Canis lupus familiaris: one gene and its partner. The protein of the gene in region 2 interacts with the protein of the main gene of each other region in a pairwise test. Links are inferred from orthologs where the notes say so. Each region holds a gene or a part of one and is shown on either strand. Other genes may lie near its edges.

Region 1 (7,582 bases), on a different chromosome or scaffold from region 2:
GACATTTTAAATAATCTATTCAGGAATTACATGTTACAAGACAACTGTTTTGCTTAAATTTTGCTATAACATTTTAACAAAATATTTGAAATATAAATATACAATGTATCACTTATTTTTTGTTATTTCACATGTTGAAGGAGACATGAACTTTAACATAAACATTAGTACACGTTTTCATAAATTTTCACAGTACAGCTAAAAATTTTATCTTTACCATATTTTTATTTCATTGACCAAGTTGCAGATAAATATTCTTCCTAAATTTGTCAGTAAGACTCTGATATTGGGATGACAAATGATTTCTATCCTGATTTATTTTTAATTGCCAATCACCAGTACATTTAGAAAGATACCTATACATATGTCTGTAAATACTCCACTTTCTAGAGATACTACCAATAATCATACTGTGATTTTTTTTTTTTTGAGAGTGCCACCTCTCTCACACCAACTAGACACTAATGTAGTAATTGACCCATCCTGGTAAGTAATTCTGAAAATCTTCTAGCCTAGAAATGGTTCAGCATCTCAAGTCCCAGTAAAGTTAATTTTAGGTCAGACATTGTATGCCTTGCAATAATCCCATATACTTTAAAGTTGAACATTATAAATTTATACACATTTTAGGAATAAGTTATTATATACATAATCATTATCTTGCAATCTTCTGTAAATGAGTTAGTTCAAGTAAACATAAAAAACTTCACCATAAAGTTACTAAAATCTGTTCGATAGAAGACAAATTTTTGAAATACCTGAGGCATGATGCTGAATTATATAATCCCATCATTAGGTTCTAGTATATATTCTCTATTTTATTGGACTTTCAGAAATTACCAAGAACCTTCATAAGTGTTTCCAATTATGATTTTTACAGATTTGACTTCAACAAAAGATAATGGTTTAAAGCTAAATCTCTTCTTTTTCTTTATGAGCCTTGATTCTGTTTCCTTTCAAAAATAGAAAATAACATTTACCTCCTTCCTATCTGTTGCACGAAGACCACAAGAAAAAAGTTACTTGTTTGACTCTTAGGAAAGTCACAAACAGCAATTGTCTATAGAGTGAGACTAGAAGTGGAATCCATATGTAATGCCTCTGTCAGCAAAGACTTAGTAGAAGAAGGTTTATAATAAATATTCACATCTGCTTCTTTGGACACTCTAATCCATCCTAAGGATCTTTGCTGTGTCAGGTTTTGTTCTAGATGAAGAAGCCCAGTAGTTATAAAGGTTTGTAAATAGACTATATTTATCATGGTTAGCTTTACTTTTATAACTTTTTTAAAATTTTTTTTATTTTTTACTTTGATAACTTTTCTGTTTTTAAAATATTCATGACATTTTGGTGTATAATTTGTGATTAAATATTTCACTGTGACTTTTATGGCAATATCATTAAAGAATTTTTTACTATGAAACAGGCAAATTTTATTTTCACAATATATCACCTACTTAAAATCTATCAATAAGGCATCATTGATAACAATCCTATGCTGGATGTGAAAACACAATGACTTAAAGCCCAGGCTATTTAAAGTGATTGTGATTTAATGATAGTTCCCTTCATACCGAATATACCTCCTCTTGAGCAAGATACTTCACCTTTCTAAACCTCTCTTTGTTCATCCATATAATGAAGTTAATATTATTTTATCATTATATTCTTGTAAAGATTATATGCAACTATTCACATCAGGTACAAAATCAATTGACATATACTGTTTAATCAATTTTAAATGTCATTACTGGAATGATAATATGCCTTCTAAGTATGATTAGATAATCCCATAGATAGCCCTAGTATCATACTTATTTACCCCACATACTGACTTTATGTAAACGTATTTCATTAGTTTTACTTACCTCTAAATTCCCTGATAGTTTGTTACCAGACTTCTTTAATAAAAGCATTAGAATTGGGCTGCTGATATGTTTTTAACTTGAAGGAAATTATTCACTAAAAATTATACAGTATAAAAATTATGAGAATACTCTGTGCTATATTTAGCTCTTATGTAATATAAACTTAGTTTAACAGAATTTTGAATTTTAAATTAGAGTAAAAAAGCCTAAGTCATCCTTGAACTGGAGGTATTTATTTTCACTTCAACTCCAAAAAAGGTTCATAAGTGTCATAATAAATGTATATTATTATACCTAAATAAAGATTTAGCATAATTACAAGTTAAAGTATAATGCAAAATTTAAAATGTAAATTATCCATTATATAGGGACAGAGATTTTGAACCTATGCTTTGGACATCTTTTCACAAATAATTCACTTGAAAAACAAACCTGCATCGCTTCATTGCTTTCACACTCATTTTCTCAAAATTATTTATTAATCCCAAATATAAGGAGATTAGGAGGGCATTTGATAAAGTGGGTGGGACATTAGGTTTCACTTCCTCATTTTAAAATTTTACAATCTTATTGACATGTCTTAATTTTGCCTGGAATTATTTCCTATACAAATGAGTTAGCTCATATTTAATGACTGACATCTAATATGAGTCTGTTAAATTACATTTGAGACAAAACTGTGTATTTCATTGCTTATAAACTATGACTGCCTGAAATTAAACTTTGATATTCTCTCTCACTCTCTCTCTCTCCTCTCTCTTTCTTCCTCTCCCTCTCCCCCTCCCTCCCTTTCTCCCTCCCTCCCTCCCTCTTTCTCAGGTCGAGTTTTAGCTCAGGCGAGTGGCAGTGGGGTTATCCATTTGCTAGATCTTAAATCAGGGCAAATCCACAAATTGATGGGCCATGATAGTGAGGCTCACACAGTCGTGTTTTCTCATGACGGAGAGTATTTGTTTTCCGGAGGCTCTGACGGCACTGTTCGAACGTGGTCTTGATGGTCAGCATATCCCACTGCGGACGGCATTCCCTTTAAGGCTTGAAAATACCTTGGGTAGTCAGTCTCAAACCAGGAAGTATCTGGTTAAATATGCCAGCAGGTAACATTTACAATTTGCTTTAAAACATGCTTTGGACATGTATTTTAGTGCTCATACTGACACCAATAAAAAAATAAAAAAAAACACAACTTTTTGCTCATTTGTGTCTGGTTCTCTTTTTCTTCATTTTGATAAGAATTTAGAGACAGAGCATCTTTGCTAGGGGTTTGAAAGAAACAGCTTTACAATGACGCCTAATGACAGACTAGATGAATTACAGGAGATTGATTTTGAATGTTAGAGAACAAACTGCAGGAGAACAGGGCTACTTTTTTTTTTTTTTTTTAAATCGAATCCAAGCTGCAGGAAGACCTGAAGTTTAATCATATAGCATGGAGAAAGTCTTTCTGCAACAAAAGGGTCAAATAGAATCGAGGAGCGTACATGTTCACAGATTCTTTGACAATGATCATGCTTTATCTATTAATAATCATCAAGACTGCAGATGGCTTAAATCTAAATGCAATGCTCTTCCAGAACTTTCATCTCTGCAGCCCATCTAAGAATGCATTAGGTATAATTACAATGTTTTGTATTTTTTGTTGTAATTTCAATGCCAATAAGTATCTCGTGTGTAAAATGTCTTTCCCACTCCTAATGCATGCGTCGGCTGTATAAAGTGCGACTGCTTTAGAGAACACTCTAGCCTGGTCTAAAGAAGCAGCTCCGGATTTCGGATTTCACCGAGCTGGGCTCAGAAGCCAGTTGTTGGCGCTGTCCGTGGTGCTGAGGAATTCCCGGCTGCCGGCGAATGAGCTCCAAATCAGCAGTCTGCAAACTGCTCTCAGTGATGCAGAAACCCAGCTAAAGTTGCTCCTTTCCTTCACGTCCACAGTTAGTATTTTCTGGTGTGTAAGAGGGGATTCAAGCAACATATTGTGGATGATGCTGATGGTACTGCCAGCGGAGTGGGCTTTAAGCTACAGCATGCTATTGCTGTTTGTGATCCTCAGAGCCTAGCCAAATCACCTCTACTGCCGTACCAAACACTGTGTAAGTGAACTCATGTGTGGAGGAGGCGTAATCAGCCGGTAAATTTCATAGAAGGATCTGAGAAAATGCTAAAAATAAGTTCAACATGATTCTGCTACTGGGGTCTGGATTTCTACAGGACCAGCATTGCTTCTTGCTTTGAATTCTGAAGACAGGTCCAAAGCATATTTCTTATGTGTGTCTGCTGTGTTTCTCTCTGGAAGGGCGGGAGACTGCTTCTTGACTGTGTTTTGAAATGGGAGGTAGAAAGAATGGATTACCTTTAATTCGTGCCTGAAAATGTATTCTTTGGATAACTAAAGAGGAACTGCTTTCCTAAAACATACCTGATGTTTTAGTTCGTATTGGTCTATGACTCCCACCACCACCATTAACCTCCAGAGTGATTAGGTAAGTGTATCTTATGACATGAGTTATGTTTGTTTTCTCAAAGAAATAGATGCAGTTATTTTAAATCATATGTAAAAATATAGGGAGGGGGGAAAGTTTAGCTGGAAAGTGGTCCTCAGTTTAGCAGTGTTTGCTTACTTAATAAAAATCTTCAGATAAACATTTTATTTCATTTCTCTAATATTTCTTCTCTTAAATAGTGTTTTTAACTACACTAGAGCAGCTCTATTATGAAAAGGGATTTTTTAATAGCCTAAGAACTTTGTTATATTGAAAAGAAAACCTTGTTTTCTCCATGCAGATTTAAAAATGTATTTCATATAATAAAAGCATGTTTAAGGTTTATATAAAGTAGACATTATACCCCTATTTTTATCTTTAAGTTTACATTTATCACAACTTGATATATTAATGCCTACCTGTAGCTTGCAAAGAGATCAATTTCTGTCTATGTCCTTTTGAAGCAGAATGATATGTGTCTTTTATATGGCTTATCTTGCATGTATTGGCAGACACTGCTGGAATACTATAAGGAAGCACAATAGATTCCTTTCTTCCAAGATAAACTTTCTAAATATGTGAGAGATGTATAAATGCATGGTTTAATCAGTAAAATATATATTTATGCTTTTTTCAGAAGCTTCTGTTATGTTTGTGGCCTCTGTAGTAATTTAAGAGAAAAAAATGCTTTGTCAAAGGGAGCTTCCAGCTTCTCAAGTAGAATTATAGGTTTGCATTTTTTTTGTTCTGTCATGACTCATTATTTTTGACATATTTTAAAATAAATCTCTCTCTTTTATCATTACCTACCCAAAAGGAATTCTAATATGAGAGAGCAGTTTTCTCTTAAAGGAGGGCATAAATATACTACCTTCCATTTTACTATTACTTTGCATAAGATAATTTGCATATCTTACTTAAAATGCAAATATAATAGTTGATGAAGTATCCTTATGTCATCTTTATCATGTTTTTAAATGATCACCTGTATATGCTATACTGAAAAGGGATGATTTATCATTACTCATTATATTCTGAAAATATACCAACAAATATCATTTATAAATTATCTGAGAATGTCCTATATACAGTCTGAGCAACATTGGCATAAAGCCAATAGCATTTAGATAGATAAATGAACTATCCGACAACACTTTTTCTTACCTATTAGTGTCTAAAGTCACAGTTTCCCCAAAGCCTTTGTATGAGTTAGTCACCCTAAACATTTAAATAAGAGCCCACTACTAACACTCCACACCAAGCACTAACACTAAGTGAAGCTTTTAAGAGTCAATGTCACTAAATTAATCATACATATTTTCTGTGAAAGGCAACACCTCATCATTACTTTAAGGAATTTCAATAAATAGTTTTGTATTGGCATTTTTGTGCAAATTGACCAAATGCAAATATGTTTGGGATGTCAAAAAGAAAGGTATATCCTCAAGACTATGTGAATGGTATATATTTTACATTGAAGTAATTAATTCAAATAGCATTCCATAAATACTAGATTCAAATTGCCATTAAAAAAAAATCTCAGGTGCATCTTTCCTGCCCACTAGGAGCTTACTTCCTGAGTAAAATAAAGTTGTGGACAATGATACAAATAAATTTATTTTTAGTAAATCCTTTTCAATACATGGAGTTCTCTTGCACTATTATTTAAATTTTTCTCTTATTCACTGTGGAATGGTTGTACTAGTTTTCTTAATAGCTATGTTCCAAAATCCATATTTATGGTTTCTGAAACAAGAAATACATTTGAGACCACTGCTATTCTCCAGTTATGGGAGTGAAGTAGGAAGACCTTTATACTAGCTCATCTCAATTATAATTTATATTAGACTATTGGTCTCTTCTCTTTCTTTTAGAAGTAGATGTTTTCTCACTAATCTCTTAGTTTTTATACAGATAATTATATCATATACATTCTATCACTGACTAATCCAGCTTAAGGAATAATAGAGAATGTGGATTCCAACATTCTTGAGCCATCTGTAACTACTGTAATCACCTTTTGAGGCTCAGTAAAACCACTTCTACAATTTAAACAAAGCCAAACCTTGGAAATTCAGAGGGTAAATCTGAGCTTACGATTCCTAGGTGGAATAAAGGACAAATTTTAATGCATGTATTGCCAAGAATAAACTCCCCAAACTTCATAAGAAGCATAGATAGTTGCATGAACTTAGTCTATTTGAGGTCTGAGTGTCTTCCAGACAGATCCCAAATAAACAGATTAAGAACAAGGGCTTACGTAAATCCATATTCTCTCTATATATGTCAAATTCTTCTTTTTAAATATTTATTTTCAGCCTACCCCTCTTGTATTCCCATGGAAGGAGCTGAGTATATTTAATATTAGGAGCACATCCAGAAGCCTTTGAGGAGGGGGATGGCTCTTCATATTCATGAAGCTTGCATACTTCTGTTGGTCATCCTTGGATCAGTCACCTCTGCTGCCATCAGTCATGAAGACTACCCTGCTGATGAAGGTGACCAGACCTCCAGTAATGACAATCTGATCTTTGATGACTATCGAGGGAAAGGGTGTGTGGATGACAGCGGCTTTGTATACAAGTTGGGAGAACGCTTTTTCCCAGGGCATTCCAACTGTCCATGTGTCTGTGCTCTGGATGGACCTGTTTGTGACCAGCCAGAATGCCCTAAAATTCACCCAAAGTGTACTAAAGTGGAACACAATGGATGCTGCCCTGAGTGCAAAGAAGTGAAAAACTTTTGTGAATATCATGGGAAAAATTACAAAATCTTGGAGGAATTTAAGGTATGAGTTACCCTCCATATTCATTCAATACTAATCTTTCACACCATGTATTTCATAGATTACTACATTAAAATTAGAGTTGGAAAAAGTTACTTTTAAATTACCCCTTAACTTACGGTATTGTGATTTCAGTTAGCCTGCGTACCGCTGTGGTCAACAAAGAACCAACTGGCTTGTTGATAGGTGTCTTGAAGGTTTCACGATAACCTCCTCCTTCAGAAGTATTCTGGGCATGCTTAACATCTTTTATTGCCCTCAATCATTTCCTTTGTGTTATTACAAAATATGTTTTCTGAGGGAAATAATTATGTTTATAGATCATGTGTTTATTTAAAGCTAATGTTTAAATATTGTAAGATCTTTTTACGTGTGTGTGGCTTATAAGCCTGTATTGGGAGTCATTTAACTATGGTCTAGAATTCTATTTAGTATGTGGAAATGCAAGT
Region 2 (7,489 bases):
GGCGTCTTGGCTCCAAGTGGGGAGCCAAGTGGCACAAAGTTCTCACGCCCCTTGGAGGGCCCCGGCACAGGGCTAGGGCGTTCTCCCGGTTCTTTCCCGGGCCTCGAGGGCAAGGGAGGCGAGATAAAAGGCCCTTGAGGAGAGGTCGGAGTTATAATCCAAACAGGACTTTTATCGCAAAAAATCAGAAGCAAGGCCCGTAGCCGGGTTTTGCGTTTGGCATCCTCTCGGGGCGAAGGGAGCGTCTCCCCAAACCTGCGCCACCCCCGGGGGCGCGCCCCGACAGGGCGCCAGGCTCCGGCCAAGCCCCTCTCGGCCGCCTCCAGGATCCCGGGGACGCGGGGCGAGGGCGGAGGCCCAACTCCGCACCCCGGGCGCCTGGCGCTCGGGAGCCCCGCCTGCCCTCCCGACAGCCTGAGGACTCCCAGCTGCAGGCGGCCGCGGGAGGCGGCCAGGGCAGGGCTCGGAGCGGGCCCTCCAGCGGGGCCCCTCGCCGGGCCGGGCCGGGCCGGGCGCTAGGGGGAGTCGGAGAGGGCCTGGCCAGCCGCGGGCCCGCCCCACCGCCCCACCGCCCCACCGCCCCACCGCCCGCCGCCCGCCGCCGTCCCGACCCTCCCCGGCCCGCTGCCCCAGGGCCCGGCCCGGCTCCGGAGCCCTGGGCACGCGCACCTGGACTCTGGACTCCGGCAGGTTGATCTTGAGCGCCACCTCCTCGCGCATGAAGATGTCAGGGTAGCGAGTCTTGGCGAAGAGCGCCTCCAGCACGTCCAGCTGCGAGCGTGTAAAGGTGGTGCGCTCCCGCCGCTGCTTCCGCGGGGTGGCTGAGGGGACACGCGGGGGCGCCTCGGGTCAGCGGTGGCCACGCGGACCGCGCTAGACGACGCAGACAGGCCCCCGGCAGGGCTCTGTGCGAGGCCGTTGCAAAAGCAAGCCAAGCTCCAAGCGAAAGAAAACTCCCCCAGGAGGCCGAGCCTGAGAGGCCACAGGTGGGAGAAAGTGCATGTGTGCGACTGGGAACCAGTGTCGTCAAGACTCCAGAATTGCCCCCTTCCCTGCCTCTCGGAGGTTAAGAAAGGAAAAGAAGTTATACAATCCCCCTTCTTTCACCACCTCCCCCCCAACACATCCCCTGGCTGGAGGATGGGAAAGGGGTGCGCAGACACACCACCTGGAAAACGCTTTCCGAGGGAACAAGTGGAGATGAAGGAGCGGGAGCTGGGGCGGGGAGGAGGCGGCTCAAGCCTTCCACATCCACGGTGCAAAAGTTGGTGCAGACAGCGGATGTAGAGGACAATTCAATTAGGGAGGGAGAGCCCCTCTTCTTCGTCTCAGCCAGTCACTTCTCATAAGAAAAGCCTGGCCCTTCCTGTCAGGGCCTAGAGAGTGTCCAAATCTCTCTTTCAACATTGGGAGGAAAGGAATAGATTCACACACACACACACACCCCAAAAAAGCCACCCATGAGAAACGAATCCTTGGGTAAGTGGGCCCTGTGCTGGTGGTGGGACCACAAGAGACAGATTGCCCAGCTTCACTGGCCTGGCCTGCCTCATGCACCCGCCACTGCCCTGTGAGCCTGCGGCGTGCAGAGCACTGCAGGCAGACCCGCCATCCCACTCCCCGGGCCTGCTCAGACACCGAGTGTGCGCTCAAACTCAAGAGTCTGGGCGTCCCCAAGATTTGCAGGGGCTGGGGGCAGGGACTGGTGCTCACCCGGGTAGCCCACGGAAGGGTGCAGGAGGTCCATGGCTGGCCCGGCCAGGCCCAGCCCGTTCATGCCATATGGGGGTTGTTTGAGGTAAGACATCATGCTAACAGCCGGGTGGAGGCGCCCGGACGGATCCAGGGGGCCGGGGCCAGGCGCAGTGCGGGGCTCCCACTGCGCAGTCCTTCAAACTCTGCTGCGTCGGGGGGCCCGGCCTATGGAGACAGGAGACACAGGTAAACAGTGACTGGGAGCCATCTCGGTTTCCTGGTCTCGTCGGAGGCGAGCAGCCGGGGGCTGGGGAGGGCACGCAGGCCTGCGGAACTCGGAAGGGCGGTCAGCTTGGCTCTACAAGGCCTTGGCCGGAAGACCACAGCTTCTTTGAAAAGTCAGCTTTTCTGGATCGTCATCGCCTCTTCTCAGGCGTGGAATGGGTAAAAGACCCTCGTAGGGCGTCGCTAGGAGTGCGGAGAGGCTAAAAGCAGGGCCAAGCTGGAAAGTGAGGGCCTAAAACGCCCGGCGTGCAAGGTCCCAAGTCTAGGCCAAATTCTGGTCGGGTAGGAGCCGGCCTCCATACTGCAAGAGCAAACGTTTACTCGGCGCCAGTGAGGCAGGCTGCCCAGGGCACCAGAGGTTGTTTCGTTTCGTTTCAAAATGTTTTTGAAAAGCGGGATGAAAAGGTGGAGGGTCGGGGAGAGCTAAGGTGAGGCGCCGCGGGAGGCTAGCGGCACCTGGGCCTCTCCGGGTGGCAGGGCCCACTTAGGGTGCGCTCCTGCAAGGGTGTCCCCGCTGGGTCTGGGCCCCCGAGCCCACGGCCACCCTGCCAGTTGACCTCCCTGCGCCCGGCCGCGGAGAGGCCGCTCCCCGGGGAGCCCAGCACACCTGGGCCACAGTAACAGGCCCGGGCCCACGGCGGCCAGGAGACGCGGACGCGGGGGCCGCGGGGGCTCCAGGGCGCGGCGGGGGGTCAGGGGCGCCCAGGCCCCGCCGCAGGCCCCCTCCCCGACAACGCCCGCCGCCGCTGCTTTCTGCCCGCTGCTGGCTGCTGGCTGCTGGCTGCGGACAGCGCGGCCCGGGCGGAGGCCGGAGGGCGGCCCGCCCGGCGCCCCGAGGGGTCGCGGATCGGGGAGGCCCGGGCGCCGCGCCCCCGCGTGCTCCCGGCCTATCCCGCCCGCCCGGCCCGCGGCCCAGGACCCTGCCCAGGGCCGACGCGACTAGGCCTCGGCGGCGCAGCTCGGCTGACCCGGGCCGCCAGGTCGAAGCCCGGCTCCCCGCTCGCCTCCCCCCGCGGCGCCGTTCGCAGGGGCAGGGAGTGGAGCTGGGGGGCGCGGCCGCGGCCCCGGGGGACCCTGCGCTGCACCCCGCGTCGCGGGGGATTCAAAGCAGGCCCGGGGCCGGGCTGGGGAGTTCGGGGAGGGCGGGGAGAGCCGGGGCGGCCTCCCGCGCCCCTCCTCCAGGCCCCACGGTCTGGGCTGGCGGACCCCAGCTGGCAGGGAAAGGGGGGCGAAGGAGGGGCAGCCCGGGGCTCCGGGGCCCAGAGAGAGGGGGGCACGCCGGGCCGCCGCGCCTCTGCCGAGCTGCAGCGTGAGTTTCCAGAGACTTTCTTCAAACTTAGCACTTGAGCTCGCTGACTTCGGAGGAGGCGGGGGAGGGGCCGCGGGGCCGCGGCGGGGATCGGGGGTCCTCCGCGCGCCGGGAGGGGAGCCAGGCCGCCCCCCAGCCCCGCCCACCTGCCGGGGACCTGGGAAGCGGGGACCGGCTCGGGGGCCGGGGTGGGAGCAGGCGGCGCGCTCCCGGAGCCAGGGCGGCCCCGCGGCTGTCTGCTTACCTGCCCTCGGCTGCCGGGGCCGCTCACCATCTACCTCGCGCCCTCGCGCAGGCCCGCGGGGCAGCCGACCTGCAAAGACAGAGGGCGCGGGGGTTACTCGCCGGGCCGGACGGCGGGTCCCGGCTCCCCGGGGTTCTTGCTTTCCCCAACTTCCCTCCTGCCTTCTCTTTCTTCCCGGTGGCTTTGTGCGGGTCCCTCCAGGTTTCACTTTATTGCACAGACACTTTGTTTGCAAAGCCCTACGCGTCCCCGAGACACCACGTCGCCCGGGACCGCGCCGAGGGGCCGCAAGGGGTAGGCGGGTGGGGGGTGAGAGGGGCAGCGTTGGGGGGCGGCTCGAGGCTGCAGTTGCAGTCCGGGTGCAGCGCGGAGGCGGCGGGGGCCAGGGGAGTCCCGCCGAGGCACTTTGCGAACTAAATAAATCAAGCGATTTACCTTGTCGGAGTGGCTTGTCTTGCCGGGTTGTTTAGGTGATTGGAAATGTAGCCTGATGAAGATTGATCACCTTTCTACTGCCCTCCCCGGGTATGTGAACGCGAGGTGAGTGCGTAACGGGGCCGTGCTGCCAATCCCCGGCCCCGCGCGGGCTGAGTGACAGCGAGCCGGGCAATGGCAGCCCGAGCCGGGGGTTACCTCCGCGCGCCCCCGCCCTCCTCCGCCCCCTGCACCCCGCCCTCGGCGCCCGCCCGCCCCGCCCCGGGCGCGCGCTAACTCCAGGGCTGGGCTGACAAACGCGGCGCAGAGCGAGGCGAGGACAGCGGCCGCAGCGCCAGGGCCCGTCGGCGGAGGGGGGACGCGGGGCCCGAGGCCGGCCCGGGGGGGGGGGTCCCCGCCCTTCGCTCGCCCTGTCGGCGCCCGCGAGGGAGTGGCGGAGAGGAGACGCGGGGCCGGGGAACCGGTTCCCGGGCTCTCCCGCGCGCCACCCGGCTCGGCGGCGGGGCTGTGCGCTCGAGGAGTCCGGGGCCGCGGGCTGCAGGGCAGTGGGGGCCCCCCCGGCTCCCCCCGGGCGGCGCCCCGGGCCCCAGCGGCCGCCTTCCCCGCGCCGCCACCTGCGGACGGACGCGGCGGGCGCGGGGGCCGGGGGCGGCGGGGGGCGCGGACCCCGCCTGGCCCGCTCGGCCCCCGCGGGGGAGGCCCCGCCGCTCCCCCGCTGCTGCGCGTCCCCCGGGGCCCGCGCGCCCGTCCTCGGCGCGTCTCCCCGGGCGTTGGAGCCCCGCGGCTCCTGCCCCCTTAAGGCGCCCGCTCTCCTCCTGCCCCGGGAGGTCTTAACGGGAAACTTTCCCTTCCGCACCCCGCCTCCTTCGCGGGCGCCCTGCACCGGGGGCGGGGGCGGGGGCGGGGGCGGCAGACGCGGCCACAGACCCCCGGCCTCCGTCTCCTCCTCCCGCGCCGCAGAGGGAGCCTCCTCGGGGCCGTCTCCCCGGATTGTTCGTACTGGCGAAGCCCATTTCCCAGCCGAACTAACTTCTGGAGCCCGCGTACCTGCTGGACGTCTCCAGGCGCCCCCCGCCCCCACCCCCCCAAAAGGGTTTCGCCCCAACCTTGAGCCAGGCGGTTCCTCTTAGGTGGCACCTCCTTCTGAGTATTAGGCACCACTTGGGTCCCTTTCGAGGAATTCCTCCCCGGCTTCCCTAGTCCCCCCTCCCCTCCATCCCAACAGGCGGAGTGAAAAGTTTGAGCAGGAGTGAGCGCGAGGGCGAGTCCGGGAGCCGCGGGGCGCCGCGCCGTGGGAGCGCCCGCCGCCGGGCCGCGAGGTCGGGCCCCCGAGCGGACGGGGCTGGGGCGAGGAGGAGGAGGAGGAGAGGAAGGGGGCGCCCCGCAGTCAAAAGGGGCCGAGGCCGCCGCTCATCAAAGTACTTCCCCCTCCCCCCAAGCGACACTTTCCTTTGGAGCCCGAATAAAATACGGTAACAGAATATGATGGAGGGCACACTGTTTCCTTAACTGCTTCTCAAAGGACCCGGGAGATCTTCTTAGGACCTTTAATAAGGCTTTGGTCGGTTCTTTTGTTGATCTCTCAAAATCAACTCCTTCTAATTGAAGTTGGAGCTGAAAGCGAGCTAATGTTCAAAGAAAGTGGCCGCCAGACCAACGAAATTACATTTTTTTTTTGTTGGGGGGGGGGTACGATGAGGGAACATCTAATCAAAGGGGCAGAGGAGGAGGGGTGGGAGTGGGCGAGTATGAAGGAGAAAAGGAGGTTTTACAAGATCCTTCTCTGGTTCACAAAAGTCAGCGACACGGGCGCTTCTCTCCAGAACAAAGACACCGCAGCCCATTCACAAAAGGGAAAGAAAGACACACACACACACACACACACACACACACACACACACAGAGGGAGGAGAGAGAGAGAGAGAGAGAAAACAATAAAAGAACGAGAGAAAAGGGAGAAAAAAAAAAAAAACCACAGGAAAGAAAAAGCTTTAAGAGGAAAAGAAACTGCGCAGAGCGCAGCGCTGACCCGGGCGGGGACACAAGTCCTAGGTCCTCTGAGGCCCCCTGGGCGCAGCCCCCGCGACGGGCAGGCGCCTGGAGGAAGGAGTGAGGCGCACCCGCCTGCGGTTCTGGGGAGAGGCGCGGGCAGGAGGGCCCCGGGTTCGCGGGGAGGTCCCCGCGGGCGTCCCCGGCCCAGCCCGGCCCGGCCCGGCCCGGCCTGCGCGCCCCGGGCCCCGGCGCAGCCCTCCGGGCCCCGGCCGCGTGCCCCGGTCGCGGCCCCGCCACCCGTCGCGCGCCTGCCCCGTCCGGGCCCCGAGCCGCCGGCGGCTGCGGCGGGGCGGCCGTGCGCGCAGGAATGTGCCCGGCGGTCCCCAGGGCCCGCCTCGCGGGCGGCCGGCGCTCTCGCTCCAGATGCTGCCGCGGTCTCGGGGAAGTTGGGACGTATCGAGTAGCACAGGTCCCCCCCCGCGCGCCCCTCTAATGAGCATATTTATCTAATCCCAAATTGCAGGAGAATTTTCTTAATGCTCAGCCCGTAAAACCCCGGGATTAAGAAAAGAAAGAGAGGGAGAGGGAGGAGTGCAGGGAGGAAGAGGGACTGGGATGAAAGTTTCTTGCACGCGGCGCGGAGGACGGCGGCGGCCGTCGGTCGCCAGGCAAGTGTCCAGGTGGGAGACGCCGGGCCAGGAGCGGCGGCCGCAGGCGGGGAGGGCGCGTCCGCGCAGCGCCGGGCCCCGGGGCCGGGCCGGGGCGGGGGGGGGGGGCGCGCCGGGCCCCGGAGCCAGCCCCGAGGTGACCTCGAGGCCCGGCCAGGCCCGGGGGACACCTGGGACGGGGGGAGGGGTTTGGCTCCGGGGTCGCGGGATCCCGGCCAGGGGCGGAAGTTCCGCGCGCAGCCCGCCGCCCGCCGCCCGCCGCCCGCCCGCCGCGCTCCTCCGCCGCCGCCGCCGCCGCCGCGACCCCCGGGCCTTTCCCGCGGCGCGGGCTCCCGGGTTCCGGGCCTCTCTGCGCGCCGGGCTTGCGCCTGCGCTCGGCGGGCAGCCTCTGGGCCCCACGCGGCGAGCCCGGGGCGCGGGCCCGACCCCCCCGACCCCGCCGGCCCGCGCTGCGCCCCGAGCTGCCCCCCGGGAGCCCGCGCGGCCCGGGCCCGGGGGAGGCAGCGCGGCGTGGGCGCGGCGAGGCTCCCGGGAGGGCAGGCGCCGACCCAGCGGCCCCGGGGCGCAGCCGCCCCTCGCTCGCCGCCCTCCTGCTCCGGGAACCAGGGCAAAGACTCCATTGCATTGAGTTCTGGTAACTTTTCGATAACTTCTTAAAAATCCTTTTCGAGAAGAAATTCTAACCTTGGCAGGTTGTATCGTTTTGAGAGACCGGCAAGGGGAAGGCGGCTGCGTACTTTCCGGAGGGGATTTGTGTGTGTGTAGACAGCCAGGTCCGCGTGTACGCGGGCACGCGTGGCCCGGGCGCAGGTGCCCGCGCGGGGGGCTGTCGTCGCGGGCCCCAGACTTGTTGAACGGGCT

The links.
Region 1: the proteins of OTX1 (region 2) and VWC2L interact in binary tests that used the Homo sapiens proteins (3 or more experiments, as listed by UniProt). The two-hybrid records come from large-scale screens. The link is inferred for Canis lupus familiaris from reciprocal best matches to the Homo sapiens genes OTX1 and VWC2L.

The regions. Positions count from the first base shown.
Region 1 is NC_049258.1:21,552,948-21,560,529, forward strand, and holds the start of VWC2L (von Willebrand factor C domain-containing protein 2-like), read left to right. Parts: upstream 1-3,178; 5' UTR 3,179-4,348; intron 4,349-6,666; 5' UTR 6,667-6,746; coding exon 6,747-7,136; intron 7,137-7,582. Other genes in the region: SPAG16 (sperm-associated antigen 16 protein), read left to right, coding at 2,688-2,863.
Region 2 is NC_049231.1:64,117,602-64,125,090, reverse strand, and holds the start of OTX1 (homeobox protein OTX1), read right to left. Parts: upstream 4,081-7,489; 5' UTR 3,969-4,080; intron 3,603-3,968; 5' UTR 3,534-3,602; intron 2,323-3,533; exon of another isoform or gene 1,921-2,322; 5' UTR 1,811-1,920; coding exon 1,714-1,810; intron 822-1,713; coding exon 670-821; intron 1-669. UniProt on the Homo sapiens protein: Probably plays a role in the development of the brain and the sense organs. Can bind to the BCD target sequence (BTS): 5'-TCTAATCCC-3'.